Linked DNA regions of Coturnix japonica. The protein of the gene in region 2 binds, or shares a complex with, the protein of the main gene of each other region. Links are inferred from orthologs where the notes say so. Each region holds a gene or a part of one and is shown on either strand. Other genes may lie near its edges. The genes, in order: PLXNA4 and NRP1.

Region 1 (3,823 bases), on a different chromosome or scaffold from region 2:
TGCTTAGGGCTGTAGGTTGCTTTTTAGGTTCCTTAGTCTTTCAGCATAACATCGGTCTCATTTCTTTTGTCTACAGTGATCATTGCTGTGTCTCTCTCTAGTGACTCCATCTGTCAAACCCAACCTGTCTGCCCTGTGCTCCCCTCAGTCAGGGTCATGGAATGGAGCCAAACATACGTTCACATGTGGCCTGACAAAGGCCAAAGTGCATTCTCAACAAATGGGATTACGGTTAGAAAAGAGCTGGAAGACGCTGAAAAGGGGGAAATGGGGGACTCAGGAAAAGACAGGGATGAACAATCAGAAAAGATAAGGAGATGGAGAGAGGGGAAAAGAAAGGTGAAGATAAATTAAGGGATAACTGGAAGAAGGCAGTGACAACAAGCATCAGAGGTAAAGCACAGAGAGGAAGGCTGAGGACTGCTGGAGGGAGGTTGCCAGCCAGGCTATAGGACTCAGGGTGTCAAACAATGCTGAAGTGAAGACCATTTTCTGCCCCTGGTGTTGCTACTCTGAATGCCAAGAAATGCCTGCTGCTCCTCCTTTTGCTGGCACCTCATGATGGGCAGTGGGTCAGAAGAAAACTTTCCCAGCAGGCACCACAGACCTCTCCTCTGCCTGAGCCATCCATTATAATCAGCTCTGAGCACCTCAAACACTGCTCTGAGCAGTGGCAAAGGCCATCCATCCCCTTTTTCACTTAAAGTTCTGACTTCAAGCAGAAGGGTTGGTTCAGACCATAGAAAGAAGATTAATATGATCCTAAAAGGAGAAAATGCTGCCTTTCCCTAAGCAAGGAAACTATATTAACTACAGAGCAGCATATTCAAGTTTTCCACACAATTCTGGAGATTAGAATGTGAAGCACAAACCCAAATGAAACCATTTCTGTTGTCCTGCTCAGCTCTGCTTTCTGGGTTCAACTGGCTCCAAAAGCCAATGATCAGGAAGAGACAGGAGATCACACAATGCAGCGGACACAGACTACATATGTAGGTAACTCAGAAACCTGAAGCACAGCAGATTTGTCCACCTCTCAGGCATGATAAGGCAACTTCCAATTTACTCACTACATAGTCCAAGTAAATTACACAGCCTGTACTATGTCATATACTTGTTGGTCTAGCACAAGTCCACAATAAGGCTTATGAAATGTGGCCTCATGCTGCTCTTATGAAGTTTTCTGAAGATTCACATTAAAATATACAGATAATGCAATAGGAGTAAAATTTCCAATCACTGGCTGAAGGAAGAGAGCAGCAAACCAGTAATGGAAAGCAAAGCCTTCACTCATCTCTACATGCCTTATCCACCTTTCCCTGCAAACAGCTTCATGCCAGCTCTACAGGGTCATATGAACTATGGCTATATATAATTTCATACTCTGTTCCATGAACCAAAATCAAGCAAATGCATCATTTTCATCCAAAATGGAACTGCATGCTTGTATTAAATAGTGGGTCGCAGGTTGCCCAGCCCTGGATATCTTTACCTCCTGAGTAGCAGTTTGGGGTGGTTCTTGCTCTCCAGATTTTTGTCTATGAGGTCAGCCAAGAGCTGCTTGAGGACATCCGTGGCATATTCCAGCTTGCCCTGCAGCACTGTCATGATGAGCGAGGCCACATTGCCACGGTCGCGCATGGAGAAGCTGCGCTGGGACTCCAGTGTGCGGATGAAGGACAGCAGGAAAACCTTGTTGTTGATGAGCTGTGCAAAGAGCTTGAGGCCCTTCTCCACCCGTTCCTGCCTATAGCCAGGGACCTGTATGAGAAGAAAAAAAGTTTATACCTTTCTTTCACTGCTCACTGTCAGGACATTCCCAAGTGAGTCATACACACTGTGCTACTTCTCTGCTCTTAGCCCTCCATCTCTTCCAGCTATATAACTCAACAACAAATACAAGTCAGCTCTGAGATACAGAAAAGCTGTCTCCAACAGCAAAGAACATTAAAAAGAAAGAAAAGTTTTACGTTTTGGAGTATAGTTCTTTAAGAGAGAGAGTCATTCGATAGTTAGGAAGACAGACAGACATTCCAACCACAGCCAGGTGGTTATTTTCAAGCTCTGCTACTCTCTCTCCGAACAGCACATCCAGAGGAAATTGCTGATGCCTGGATGTGGTATCATAGCATATTGTATCCTTATTGCTGTCAGACTGAAGTCTCACTCTATCCCCCTTTAACATCTCTTTTTAATCCCTGCAAGAAACCTGCCTAAAGAGAAAAATAGTCTGAGTCAGTGTTGGAAAGCATGGGGTTACATGGGTCTCTTGTTGGTCTGGACCTATGTAGGTCTCTTTATCTCCTCGTCCCAGCAGACAACAACATACCAGCTGCACTTCAGAAGCTGCCTAAACACAGGGAAGGTGCAATGTAAGGAGTATGAGGCATGGGTTTGGGACCCTGCTTAATGAGCTGGGAAAGACAGTACTAAAATAATGAGAGAAAGGGGTCCAGGTGTCTTGTTTTGAGGAGATGAAGAGATACAGTGAGACAGAAACTGAGGTGGTGAGCATGGAGGTGGGTCTTGGTCTGAAGAACTAGATCACAGAAAGATTAAGGTTGGAAAAAAAAACAACACTAAAAGACTGTAGTCCAGCATCAACCCATCACCACTGAACCACAGATAGAAGAAGGTGTCAGAAAGCACGGAGCTGGAACCTATTTTCAATGATGTCCTAAGGCAGTAGGATCCTGGGGTTTGGGAGGTGAGATCGTTTAGAGACAGGGCAGTGGATAAGATGATGTGTATGTCTCATTTGTGAAAGGCTGGTGAAACATGTTTGGTGTAGAACAATTTAGGATCTCAACACTAAACCCTGGATTCCACACTCTACAGTGGGCATAATCCTTTCCTGCTCTCTGTCTATGGATCAAAATCAAGCCACGCTCCGTGGGTATACTTCATCCCTTTATGTGCTACACCAGTGAGTCCTAAATGAGAACCTCGAACTCATTCCTCCACATTTCTTTCATCCCTCCAAAAAACATTCCTGGAAGCAGGAGACTGACAGCACAGATCAATACATGCCTCTGCTGTAAGAATGTATTAACCACCTCGTTTTGGTGCTTTAATCCAAGTTAGTGTGCTTAAATGAACAAGTCATGCAAGTCCCCATAAAGAATCGTTACTTTTTCACTCTGGAAATGAGAGATCTTAACTGTTTTTGCAAACTGAAAATAAATTACTTACTAAACAGCTTGAGACAATCAACCAACCACTACCACTCATCCTTCTAATAATTATTTTTAACTCACTTGTTTGAACATTTAGTATCGTCTATCCCCAGGTTACTATGTAGTATTAAAAAAAAATAACAAGAGAAGGATTTTGTAATGCATCTGGAAGCAGTTAATTAGCAAATGAGCTGGAAATAAGAAAGACCTGCTGACTTGAGGATCTCTGGGGCCTCTTCCCAATAAGTGCTGGCTCCATCTAGGTGCTACAGGGTAAGGAGCAGAATGGAAACTGCTTTCCCTGGTTTACCTGTATCCCAAGACTTTGACACTGAAAGAACTGTAGAAGCAATAGAGTGGATTAAGGAGGCAGAAAACCAAATAGAAAAAGATAATTAGGAAGGGGAGATCATAGAATCATAGAACCGTTTGAGTTGGAATGGACCCTTAAAGGTCATCTACTCAAACTCCCTGCAATGAACAAGGGACACCTACAGCTAGATCAAGTAGCTCATAGTCCCATTCAAGTCTGAATGTGCCCAAGGAAATCAAAGGTGGCAGACTGAAACATTAACTCTGTGTCTCTCTGCACATATCTTCATATGAGAGCATCCATGCTAAAAACTCTGTAGCGTTCAGATACTCTT
Region 2 (3,823 bases):
CACTTCCTTGGATTCTTCTTTGCCCTTCTGCTGCCTCCAGAGCCCACTGGCCACTCAAGATCTTATGCACTGAATTCATGGTCAGAAAATGTCAGTAGGGATGGCACTTTCTGTGGAAGTTCTATCCTGGGATGAAACTAGGATTTTCTGGACCACAACCTGTGCTTTACAGGTATAAGCTAGCACTAAAGAAACATTTCTGCACCCGTTACAAGTTATTCAGAGCACCTATTCCCCATATCTCCTTGAAAGCCCCTCTGGGAGCTCCTTCTAGCTTTCTACATCAAGTCAAGTTTTTTTATCTTGATCTTCATGCCCCTGTATAGCCTCAAGCTTGCCTACATCTCTGCCATCAATTCCTATAGGCCCCCTGGGATGCTCTGTAAGATACAAAGCTTCTCCTTGCTCATTACTGCTGGAGATCTGATTTTTTACTCCTGTCTGCGCCTAGCTCCATGCTTCTTTTCTCATCTCAATATCCATCCTCCTCAGTAAATCTCAAGTGACTTCTCTTCATTCAACTCCTTCCAAAAGATACAGTTATGCAACGAATTTTTCTTATTATGTTTCTCCCGTGGGCGAATGGAAATTGACCCTGCCTGTCCATGGATGACCTGTAGGTGAGCAACCTTCCGAAGTGCTCTAGAGTTGGGAAGATGAATGCAAGTAGATGTGTCCCATGTTGCTCACGGCAACAGGGAAACACAATACTTGCTGCTGCAGTTTGCCTAGTTAGTCTTCTCTGGCTCCTCCATGTCACTGAGCCACATGTTCTTGTAAGGTGATCCATAACCTTACTTCTTGATGTGAAGGTGGCTACAGGACCCCTGTAGCAGGAGGACATTACCCATGGGTTGTAAGTTTACACAGGGCAGGTGCTGAGTTTTCTTTTCTCTTTTCTGAGCAAGCAGTACAATAGTCTGCAGGAACCAAGAATTCTCACAGGAAATGAGGACTTCCTGCAGGAACTAAGAAGCATTTCCAAACTCCCAACTTTCTGGGCCAAGTAAAAAGCACACTTATTCAATTTGGCCTTCACTAAAAAACAACAGAGAGATCAGCAGTTCTCACAGTAATGTTTTCCACTCCTCTGCTGTGGGAATGAAATGGTGAGAAAGAAGTGGAGGTAGAGCAGTTTTGCATCTTGGGAGCCTGTTCAGCAACTTCTTTCTGAGGTATCATATGATACCCCTGATAATATGATTTGTTATTAGATGCATATTGCTAAGCTCTGTGATTTATAAGCCAAGCCACTGTACCTTCATCCACCAGATAACATTGTGAAATTCATGTAGTGCTCTCTGTAGTTATCTATGATGTTAAATAATTATTGTTTATATAACAAAAATCAAAGCATAATAATACTTCATGTCATAGTCCAAGAATAAATGTCTAAACTTTGCTTTTCCTGGTCTTTCATCTCTTTACATACTATTGCAAAATGAAAGCATGGTGTGGAACAAAAAAGACCTTCCTCACCCTTAAAAAGGAAGAACACAGATCCTGTCCATAAAAGTAATCACTACCTATCATAGTGTCTTGTGTGACTTTCACATCCTTTGAAGGAGCAAAAGGTGTAATTTCCCCCTTCTCATTCTCAGAAAATGTCTCTTTCTGGGTTGTATCATTGTAACAGAAAATACGAGTTTCTGTCTTCATTTTCTCCTAATAGCTCTATTCTTCTCGAAAGCATAATCATAAGTTTGCTTGAGGGAACAGAAACCATGTGGAGAATATCACTGTGATTCAACAAAGGATGGGAGAGAGAATAATATTTGTGCCTTCAGCATATTCGAACGTCTGCCCAGAAGGAACTGATTAGTCCAAGAAACAGCACTAATGGCAGTCACGGAAGCAAGAGTATGATGTGCTGCCTGTGCAAGAACAGCAGTGTTCAGCAGTAGTCCAAGTACCAAATGTATGTTTGAAAATAATAAAGGGCATTCATCTCTGGCAGAGCAATTACCTTCAAGTTCACAGCCCAGCAGCTCCATTCGAAGTCCCAGTCCAGCGTGTGTGGCTCTCTCAGGGTAGACGCGGATGAATCTCGTCGATACAGGTTCAAAAGTCCGCAGTTCAGGTGTATCGTAGTTGGTGTTGCCTTCAAACGTCTGCAAAGCATGACAAATGCTGCTTGTTAAAAAAGAAAAGATATTTCAACGCTTTCTTCACTCTCTAGCCTTTGAATTAGGTGAGAAGTAGGCCAGATTCTAACCATTTAATAAGTGTCAGACTTCCACATCCTAAATGAGAATGGAAAATACACAGTTAAAGCTTCTCGGAAAAGTAATGCATTTCATTTTTCATAAACTCGGTAGCAACCAATCCATCAGGGTCATAACAAGAGCTGAGTGTTTAATGAGACATGTTTTTAAATGACGCTCTGATCTGGGGTTTAACTGGGTGACATTTTCAACACTTCTTAGGGAAAAAAAATGACTGAGGTGAAGATCCTGTCACCTTTTAAGTGGTTACAATAATAATCCAACTATTCAAGAGAAAATTTCAATCTGATTTCCCCCAGTGACAGAGTTTCATAAGTTGTAGTTATTTCAAAAGGCATAAATTAAACTCCAGTAACAGTAGCTGCAAGAGTTCTTCCAGGGAGACTGCTATTGAATAAGAATAGAAAGAAAGGAAGAAAGAAAAAAAAGAAAGAAAGAATGAAAGAAAGAAGAGAGCTGCTTCCTGACAAAACTGCAATGTAATTTAACAGGGAAGGCAGGTCAGCGAAGGTACCTATCAAACAAAAAATCTCTTGTCTGAGTTGCACTCTGGGTTCTTCAGCCATAATATAGCTCTCAATTGCATTTGTCTGATACCTTCAGTGTCACCTGTCATTGATATTTCTTATATGGGACAAGTTATAATTTGTACTTAAACCAAAACCTTCATATAGTATCCATGGAGATTATAGATCCTTAGAATGAACTGACTGCACAAAGAAATGTTTCTTCCCATGAAATGTTTCAAAGTCTAGATGATTAAACAGAGTTATTTTTGGACTAATTTATGTAAAAAAAAATAACTTCAGAAGGCCCTGTGGAGAATAAACAACAAAATATTAAATGTATATAAAAAAAGTAAAATGATTTGGACTTTTCTTTCTGTTAATAGTTAAATTACAAATCAATAAAAATAATCTTTATTGAACTGATTAGAAGTGCTGCTAATTCCAGCTCATAACTGTGAGGTCTGAAGCTTTCTTCAGGAAGAAGTCAGCACTTGTCTGCCCTTATTTTGAATGAGAACAAAACTTGGCCTTCTTACTGACCTGGGGACAGAGAAAACCGAAGCCATAGGAAAAACTGACTGTATTGCCCAAAAGCACAGGTAAAACTGACAGCTGCTTGTGTTTTTAGTGCAGTCCTAAAAGCCCTGTTATGTTTGTTTTACACTTGTGTCTAGCGGATGGTCCAGAATCCCTTCTGGCCATTGGTTAGAGTGCCAGTCGCATAAGACAATGTTGCAGTCACATAAGCCAGAGTTGATGGGTAATTTCTACGTAAATGCTTTTGCTATTATTTCTTAGTGAAGACTGTAACTCTGAGGTGGTTCAAGGGGCAATACCTGATCTCATGTTCTGAAGGTGCCTGGAAGAAAGTTGTCAAGAATTCACATGTAGATAGCCTGTCAGAACTAATTAACATGCAATTATATATTATTAGATTTGAATTCCAACATAGGTCAAATGATCAAAAAGCTACCTACTGCATGTGAAAGAATGAATGCCATTTTATGTGTAGAAAATAGACAGATGTATCTGAGGAATCTTTGCTTCCTTTTTAATAGTAGTCTTAATAGCAACATATAATAATGACAA

The links.
Region 1: the proteins of NRP1 (region 2) and PLXNA4 are in contact, whole or in part, in a cryo-EM structure (PDB 7M0R), measured with the Mus musculus proteins. The link is inferred for Coturnix japonica from reciprocal best matches to the Homo sapiens genes NRP1 and PLXNA4. Residues at the interface, in NP_032763.2 of Mus musculus: Arg80, Tyr84, Asp126, Tyr127, Glu128; in NP_786926.2 of Mus musculus: Glu272, Lys340, Lys343, Lys345, Leu349.

What each region holds. Positions count from the first base shown.
Region 1 is NC_029516.1:2,401,225-2,405,047, reverse strand, and holds part of PLXNA4 (plexin-A4), read right to left. Parts: intron 1,762-3,823; coding exon 1,493-1,761; intron 1-1,492. UniProt on the Homo sapiens protein: Coreceptor for SEMA3A. Necessary for signaling by class 3 semaphorins and subsequent remodeling of the cytoskeleton. Plays a role in axon guidance in the developing nervous system. Class 3 semaphorins bind to a complex composed of a neuropilin and a plexin.
Region 2 is NC_029517.1:12,644,676-12,648,498, reverse strand, and holds part of NRP1 (neuropilin-1), read right to left. Parts: intron 2,112-3,823; coding exon 1,967-2,111; intron 1-1,966. UniProt on the Homo sapiens protein: Cell-surface receptor involved in the development of the cardiovascular system, in angiogenesis, in the formation of certain neuronal circuits and in organogenesis outside the nervous system. Mediates the chemorepulsant activity of semaphorins.